2 linked regions of the Arabidopsis thaliana genome follow. The protein of the gene in region 2 interacts with the protein of the main gene of each other region in a pairwise test. Each region holds a gene or a part of one and is shown on either strand. Other genes may lie near its edges.

Region 1 (5,028 bases), on a different chromosome or scaffold from region 2:
TTTTGACTTTTTAAGTTGAAAACTGCAGAATTACATGGCTTGATGATGTTTGCATTGTTAATCTCTATTACTCTTCAGTGTGCTCAGTGCCTGAAACCATAGCTTCCTTGATAGGGATCAATGTATTGGTAAACCAAATTGTGTAATAGTTTTTCCATAAAATAGATTCAATAGAACCAGTGTAACAAAAAATTATTAGGGGGCTCTGTTTTAAGGTCGCAACATGACGGTGACACAAACATTTTTTAGTGATTAACTTGTTCTCATTCTGTTCCAAGTTCAACAACACAAACTGAGTTTTTTGGCTTCTCTATCAGAGAACTAATGTGATTCTACAACACAACCTGCTCTGACTGACTTACTCTGCTATGTTCTGTTTTGCTCTGCTCTGTTCTCACTTCCACGTCTCTGTTTTTGTCATTGACATTTCGACTTGTAGGAACTTAAACATTTAGTGGATTGACTGGCAAGATTGATCCAACCTTTTCCAATCTTACATCCATAAATAAGTTGATATTTTTTCTGGTTTTTATTTGGCAAACACTAATGCACCCTAGGGTTCAATGAGATATATATATATTACACTAACACAAGTACACAACCAAATGTTATTGTAGGGACTTGTAATAATTTAACAGACCCAGATTCCTCACAAATTCTACCAAATTTGCGAGTCATTCAAGCTAGCAAACATTATCATCTATAAATAAATAGTTTTCTAAACATAGTAAAGAACATAATTTTAAAATTCGAAACGTTCCTGATAAATTTTCTTCTCACATTCTAAAGAACAAAAGTATAGATCAGCTCCGTCCTCGGGAAGCGTACGAACGAAAGGGAGCTTGCATCGAGAGTTGCACACGCAGCAAAGTGGTCTACAAATAGAGTGGTTGGATACAAATGTTCCTATCCATGTTAACGCTCCTGGCATGGAATATGCGTAAGTATCTATAACGCAGGAAATATGCAATGTGATCCCACACTCATTGCATGTATAGAACCATTTTTCTGGGTTCACAGTTGTTTCGCATGCTTCACACCAATATTTGCCAGCCACGCCCATTTCGCCATAAGATAAGAAGAGAGGATGATCGTCGTACCTATGCCTCATTACCTTTTGCGGTAAAATAGCACACTTGAAGCACAAACCAAATTCACAATCATCGCAACTCAATTTCCCGTCTCCATCACACTCACTACAACGTTTGGAGTGATCTGTAGAGTAGTGTAAAGGATGTTGATGGCTTTTGTGCTCAAATGGTTCTGTAACTGTAGCGCACCGTACATCTATCCTTAATTCCTTAGATTCATAGGAGAAACCGGTGAACAGTTGACGGCAAATACTACACCTATGTAACAAGTAGGTGCCATAATTTGGGGATAGTTCGAGTGGCTGGTTGTGGCACACATGACGTTTCTTTAAAGGAAGCTTGGCACATTTTTCGTGGATTATGAAATCGCATCTCTTTCTCGCGCAAGCGTAGAACGGTTCTGAACAAATCTGGAAGACACATGCGGTACAAACTACACTTTCTGGTAGATTCCAGCCACGGTAAATTCGTAAGTTATGCTTATGGCCGTAATGGTCTATCGTGTTGTCATCAATCACCTTGAATGGCGCAGTTTCCTCTTCTTCGGGTGTCCCTTCCAGTTCGATCATGTCCCATACATCCCTTCTGGTTGCGCATCTTGAATGAACAAAATAATCAAAACATTTGGAGCAAGAATAAGCCCCGTAGAACCCATCCACATTTTTACGACAAACTCTGCATTTCCCGTCTCCATGTCCGAGGCGAGGGGTGTAAGAGATGCGGTGGTCGTGGCGGTTGATGTTTATGACGCGAGGTAGATCGATACATTCCCGATGAATCATGAAATTGCACTGAAGACAGAAATAAGGGCTACGGTCACCTAGCGTCCCACAAGCATTGCAAGTGAAGTCAATGCGTCTTGGAACAAGGTGAAGTTGATGTTCATGGGTCCTCGGGCTTTTAACAAGAACCGGTGGTGGGTTTTTCATACATGATCTGCATATGCTAAAATTACAAACACCACAGTGGTGAAGCTGGCGATGGATTCCATCAAACTCCTCGCGGCAAAGAAGACATTTCTTGTCGGCGTAACCAGGGACTTCATATCTAAGTGACTTGAGTGGGTGTTGGGGGTGAGAAGTGTGGTATGCTTCTGGACTATTATGATCGATACAATCCAGACTGATGAAAAACTCGCATTGATGACATGTGTAGAAATGTTTCCAGCTATTATGTTGATGGCCACACCCTTTGCAATCTCTGAGTGTTTCGTGCGCTTCATGGGAGAGTTGGAGTGGATGCTCGTGTAGGTAGGAGTTTTCAGCAAGAACAAGTAGGGCTGGTCTCCTCGCGCAAATCAAATCCAACTGGAAATCACATTTGTTACAGCGATAACCGACACTGAAAAATTCTCCACAGAAACTACAATTAGAAACTCTGGTATGTAGGAGGATCAGCTTGAGAGGATGGACTGGATGGTAAGGGTGGTCGATTTCTGGTAACGGCTTGGCGCACTCTTCATGGAACACAACATCACATCCCGGCTCATTGCATCGGTGTCCTCCGTAAATGTAACTGCAACCGGGATGTTTGGAAATGAAGCTTGTATTATCTTCATCGGTCGAGTAGCATCCTTTACACTTGGTGAACTCGAAGCGTGTAAAAGGTATCAACGGATGCTCATGAAATGGTAACAATTTTTCAAGGCGGGATGCTTCTTCGTCCATGCCTTCATTAAACAAAGCTAGAAAGTTTTCCATGGTGATGTTTTCTTACTTCCACCAAAACACAAAGCTCTTCTCTTCTGCACTAGTTTCAGACTTGGTTTCTTGTTTTTCTCTCTTTCTTTTCTTTCAGGATTTTTTTTCAAGTGGTTTATCATTTTCAGACTTTGCAAATAGTTAATATGAATTCGCACCACAGAAATGATTCTTTTCATTACTGAGATTGAGACCACATGTGTTGGCTTCATCCTTGCATTATTTAATTAACTCAGACCACATATGTTGACTCTGCAACTATTGTGTCCGGCCAAAACATAAATAATTGAATGAATACAAAAAAGGTTTTTTCTTGCATTAAATGGAATAGAAGTTTATGGATAGAATAGTTTAGAATTTAAATGGATGGAACTGTACATTTTGTGGAAAAAACAGTTTGAAGTCTGAACCACACAACTCCTTGGCCAAGTAGCTTTGGAGGTAGACTTTGCTGCATTCAAGTCTCTGAAACCAAAGTTTTATTATTGTATTGCATCCACTAACTTTTATGTAATTTCAGACCAAAAGATTTGTATTTTTGTCTTTAAGACCAGGATTGGGCCAATCTTTGTTTTTTAATTTTTATACAGCCAAAAGTAAGTTCTATTTCCACCATCAGATTGTATAACCCATTTGAATAACACTATAAAGTTAACATATATATACCATCTGAAACATTCGAAGAATCATTTGTCAAATCACATGTATTCAAATCACTCAGAGCAAATTTTGATTAATAAAGAAGTTAAAAAGACATACTGCGTATACATGAGCTGCTCTTGCTTTAGCACAAAACAGAGACCAGATTCCAGTTCCAGCTCTAATGTCAAGAAACTTGTTCTTTTAAATATCCTGTTAAGAAATTCTGTTTCTAAGATCATTGAGACTGCTGCTGACTGGATTCAAAAGATTGATAATTGTGGAAAAAGCGCATAAGCTTGAGGTTAAAAAAAAACTATTGTAAAACATACTTTTGGAATTAAATGGTACAAAGTTTTTCTTCATTAAAACATGCCTTACCAATCACTACTAGAGTAGTTATTAGAGCGGTTGAAATTATAATAACAGTTTAAAGAACAAATGTATAAAACAACATCGGCTTTGGAAACGACCTTAACAATGGAAGGAAGCTTGCATTGAGAGTTACACACATAGCAAAATGGTCTACACATAGAGGTGTTGGATACCACCAAGTCTTCCTCCCATCCTATTTTGGAACCTGGCATATAATATGAGAAGTCTCCCACAACGCATGAAATATGCAATATGACACCACAATCATTGCATGTATAGAACCATTTCTTCGAATTCACTTTTGTTTCACATGCTTCACACCAGTATTCTCCATCCACACTACTTTCACCACACGACAAGTAAAGAGGATGATCGTCGTATCTATGCCACTTTACTTTCTGCGGTAAAAGAGCACACTTGAAGTCCAAACTATAGTCACACTCATCACAGCTAAAGCTTCCTATATCTAGATCCATGTTTTTGCCACATTCCGTACAAGACTTAGAACTACGTTTCGAAAAGTATAAGGGATGTTGATGGCTTTGGTGCACCAATGGTTCTCGAATTGAACCACATCGTACATCTAGAGTAACCATACGAGTAAGACACTCGTACCTGAAACCGGTGAAACTTTGCCAACAAAGATCACATGAAGTTTCGTCTGAAGTATCATTTGTGACTAGGGTAAATGGTAGGTTGTCGCAAACATGCCGTTTCTTCCGAGGCAGGTTAGCACATTTTTGGTGGAGAATGAAGTCACAATTCTCGCAACTGTAGAACGCATCTGAACAGATCTGGAAGACACATGCTTTACATAGTGTGCTTTCATGGAGAATCCTCCCATCCTTGTTGATTACTAAGTTATGATCATGGCTAAAATGTTTGATCGTGTTATCATCAATCACCTCGAATGGCGCATCTTCCTCTGGCTCTTCGGGTGTCCCTTCTAGCTCTATCATGTCCCATACATCCTCGTCCGTTGCGCATCTCGAGTGAACAACATAGTTAGAACATTTTGAGCAAGAATAACCCCCGTAGAAGCCATCAACCTTTTTACGACAAACCCCGCATGTATTTTGCCCATGTCCAAGACGACGAGTGTAGGAGATGCGATGATCGTGGCGGTTGATGTTTATGACGCGGGGCAAATCGATACACTCCCAATGAATCATGAAGTTGCATTGAAGACAGAAATAAGGGCTTTGATCAGCTTGAGTCCCGCA
Region 2 (4,500 bases):
TATGATGCTTTCTCTCCTCATAAAACTCTGTGGTGCTAACAACTGTCTTCAGTGCGCTTAACCAATTTTTTTTCTTTTTTATATGATCAAAACCTATTCGAAATGAAATTAGGTGAAGAATTGAGCCTAAACCCATTTTAGATGGTACTTAGATAAGAAAAAGATTGAAACGATTTTTTACTAAACTTTTAGTTCACATTACCAAAAATTAATAATCTGATTCGAGCTTTCCTAACCTTTTAGTTTATGTTCGAAAGAAAGAGTTTTAACTTTTCACTTGAGTTGAGAGACATAGAAATTGATTCTCTGGTTAGCCGCCTAAAACGTTTAGGCTATAATCTCGGTTATTCGTTGTTAAGTCTCAAGAAATGATAATCCGAATCAAATATGGGCTGGTGTATTTAAAAAGGCTGAGACCCAAAACAATATTTTTGTTTGGCAACATCTATATATATATATTTTTGCAACACTTTTATGAAATAAATCCATAAATCCTGAAATTGAGGTTTATTTACAATCCAATGCTATTGGCATTTAATATTTTAATAAATTTATTCTTAAATCTAAATATAAATCAATTTTGTTACTAAAATTTAGAAAACAAAAAGAAAAATAGTCACAGAAATCATTTAAATCTTTTCAAATCTAAACTAAAATATACTACACACTAACTTAAAATTAACTTAAAATCATTTAAATCTTTCCAAATTTAAACTTCTAAAATAATTAAAATATTTTGCCCAAAAAACAAATAATAATAAAAATATCATGAGACAAGTTATATAGTGAAGCGGATTTGGATTGATATAACACGGGTTAAATATTTATTTATTATTTTATCATCACTAATTTTTTATTTACAATATTAATATAAAATTATATAACTTTAATATTAAATTAAAACCATAAAATTTAATATTATTATATATATAAATAAAATATTTGTCCCGTGGTGTACCACGGGTTAAATCCTAGTATCACTTATTTCTGTTTTGTTTTAACGTTTTTAAGATTTTATAGCTTCTTGAAAGAAACGACTCATCCTACAAATTACAATCTTTGTCAATGTTTAGGATTTTTTATTTGCATTTTTATCTTCTGTTTTGAGAAGATGTCCGTCGCTCACAAGTAGATAGGGAGACATATTATTAATTTTAAATCAATACTAGTATAAAATAACAAACGACACCAACAACACGATAATATTAATAACGAAAATGAGACTACGATAAAATAAAAAAATAAAAAATCAGATCCCAAGAAAATAATGTTAAACTACTGGGACCTGCTTTATTACAGGTTGGTCCAAATTTCAATCGGAAACATACATAATGATAATTAATTATTCCAAGACTTTTGCGGTAGCATTGCCAAACAAAAGGAAACAGTTTAACCTATTTGGTATGATAACTTTGTTCGTTTTGATAATTAAACATATGCTCTTCACCCACCTATTTGGTTGACAATGGAATGAAGAGTCAAGACATATGATTGATTATCGTATGAAAAATTCAATCGCTAAACTACCTCTAAAAACGGTATATGACTAATTAATCCATTAGCGAAAGCCCAAGAGAGCAGTGAGAGTGGGCTCAATCGTGGGTATTAACTACATGCCTACTACAAGTCATGAGATACCAATGGTTATCATACCACACGTGGCAACCATTCCTTCCAGCCTTTCATATACTTTTTTAATTTTTATCCTACTTTTTTTTTTAAGAATATACATAAAAAATTCACTATAATGAGACAAAGTTAAAACCCTTTATTATTTAACTTAAAGCACAGAAGAAAATGTGAGTATTTGTGTCAAAAATAACAAAGTTCGAACCAAAGTTTGTAAATTTTTTGATTAAAATCTAAGATGATGTAAAAAAGAAAAGAATGTAAATAATGTTTTTGTCCGAAATTTATTGTTACAGTCGTTTTCCGCTGAATTAAATTCGAATTTGGTACTTTGCCAAGAAAATCGGGTAATTATTTTAACGTTTTTAGAAAAAATGACTCAGACAGTGAAAACAAAGTTTCCTTTTTGTCTGTTTCTGTCTTTTATTTTTGACTACAGTAGTAGGCACACACACATTCTCTTCTATTTTGGCGAATTTCGCCTTTTGTGCATTCTCTCTCTCTCTCTCCCGGAGTCTCAGGCTTTCTCTTAACTTCTCATTCTCTCCTTGGTTGATGAAACTGGATCGATTTGATAGAACCCAGATCAAATCTGTTGACATTTTTCCAGATTTCGATGCTTTTTTGAGATTGGGTTTCTCTTTCTTTTGATGAAACTTATCACTTTCAGGTAAATCCTATAGTCTAAACACTTGCTTTTACGAAATTTCGTTACTAAACTGAAGTTAAATTCGCCGCCTTTGAATTTCTCAGCGTTGCCCAGTTTTGGCCACAAGGTGTTTGTTGAAATTCCGGAGAGAGAGAGAAGCTCGAAATTGGGAATTCTGTAAGGAAAAAAAAATGAGAGATTTTCCTTCTTGCTCTGGTGAAAATGGTGTTCAGATTGCGGACTCTTCGTCTTCCTCGAGCGCTGGAAGAAATGCTCAGAATTTGGTAATATGCATCTACCGTTGCCGCATCCGAGGTAGGACTTGCTTGATCACAGTCACATGGACTAAGAATCTGATGGGTCAGTGTGTTACCGTGGGGGTTGATGATTCTTGCAACCGAAGTCTGTGTAAAGTCGAGATTAAGCCGTGGCTCTTCACTAAACGAAAAGGGTCCAAGACTCTAGAGGCGTATGCCTGTAATATCGATGTTTTCTGGGATCTCTCGTCTGCTAAATTTGGATCCAGCCCTGAACCTTTAGGAGGGTTCTATGTTGGAGTTGTTGTTGACAAAGAGATGGTTCTTCTTCTTGGTGATATGAAGAAAGAAGCTTTTAAAAAGACGAATGCTGCACCTTCTTCATCTTTAGGTGCTGTGTTCATTGCTAAGAAAGAGCATGTCTTTGGCAAGAGAACGTTTGCAACTAAAGCTCAGTTTTCAGGTGATGGCAAAACTCATGATCTTGTGATCGAGTGTGACACTAGTCTCAGTGATCCTTGTCTCATTGTTCGTGTCGATGGAAAGATCTTGATGCAAGTGCAGCGGCTTCATTGGAAGTTCCGTGGCAACGATACCATAATTGTCAATAGAATCTCTGTGGAAGTTCTCTGGGATGTCCACAGTTGGTTCTTTGGGTTGCCATCATCACCAGGAAATGCAGTGTTTATGTTCAGGACTTGTCAATCTGTTGAAAAGACCTGGTCTTTCACACAGGTCCCCACGAGCTCAAAATCTCAAAGTTTTGGGTTTTCATTGATTCTGTATGCTTGGAAGAACGAGTAGAGAAGAAGAGTTTTGAGAGTTCTTTTGTTTCTCTTGAGTGCTAACTAAAGGTTAAAAAGGAACTGTTGATTCTTGTCAATTTATTTTATCATATGATCAATTGGTTTCAATTATAGTTTTCTCGTAAAATGTTCGAACCGGATCATTGAAGTATATATCAGTTTCATATGTCAAAAGTTTTTACTTGAGACTTGTAAAGACTTTTGTTCAAAGCCGATTACTTTAGCCCTGTATCAAGAAACCAACTGTCTAGATACTCTGTTTTGTTCTCCATGTGCATAATGTTCCTCAATACACTTGATAGTTCTAACTACATTAAGGGTTTCTTTGGTGTATGGTCTTTCTTCTATTGGCTGTTCAATTGTGGACAAATCAGATTATAACGATCTGAGCTAAAGCTAGTAGTTACAAGAAGATTATCAAACATGTGCTTTGCATCCATCTAGATATTCTTGCTGAATCATTTTATCAAGTATATGTATCTTCCTTTTAGAGATATATCATGTATTTGGTTTTGTTTAGCGCCATACCTTTTGAGACATTGTATATAGCACTTTGTTATTATCCAGCTCTTTGCAGTTTCTGCAGGTTTAAAGAGTATTTTATCAAGGATTCTAGAGAGACGTGGGTTTGTACTTGAAGATTCTTAAATTGTGAATCAGTAAGTCATGTTTCAAGTTTTCACATTTCAATTATTTCCTTGCTGCGGTCTCTTCTCTAGCCCTCCTAGACTGCTAAAAAAATTAAAGATTATAATAGCATGATAGATACTCTTGCTGAATCATATGGTTTAGGTAGGGTTTTCAACTTGCTTCAAACAAACCTCTCTATAGTTGTTCCTGTTCCTTAGAAAAACTGTCTGAATAATGTTTTGAGTTTTGACTGTTGGGTTTGTCCAAATAATGTTTTGAAAACTTTTCCTTGAAGCTGTTCTTGTAGCATGAACCCGTGACATGAGAGAGTTTGCAAAGTTTATTATGATTCGATATCCACCGAAAAGTGTACAACATAGCACTCTTGCTTGAAAGAACATCAAAGTTCTCTTGGATTGTCAAGTCAGAGAAAGATGTTTTAGAGCAAGCCAAGTTACTTTATACGTCAATTCAAACTTTTAGATTTGGATATCTCAATGGGTGGGGGGACCTGAACACAAACTGCATA

Evidence for each region. The genes of interacting proteins can lie anywhere in the genome.
Region 1: the proteins of AT3G04860 (region 2) and AT2G19650 interact in a two-hybrid assay, tested with the Arabidopsis thaliana proteins (one large-scale study listed by BioGRID).

Annotation. Positions count from the first base shown.
Region 1 is NC_003071.7:8,492,913-8,497,940, forward strand, and holds AT2G19650 (Cysteine/Histidine-rich C1 domain family protein), read right to left. Parts: upstream 2,981-5,028; 5' UTR 2,792-2,980; coding exon 743-2,791; 3' UTR 557-742; downstream 1-556. Other genes in the region: AT2G19660 (Cysteine/Histidine-rich C1 domain family protein), read right to left, coding at 3,808-5,028.
Region 2 is NC_003074.8:1,338,188-1,342,687, reverse strand, and holds AT3G04860 (hypothetical protein (DUF868)), read left to right. Parts: upstream 1-2,064; 5' UTR 2,065-2,299; intron 2,300-2,382; 5' UTR 2,383-2,469; coding exon 2,470-3,339; 3' UTR 3,340-3,861; downstream 3,862-4,500.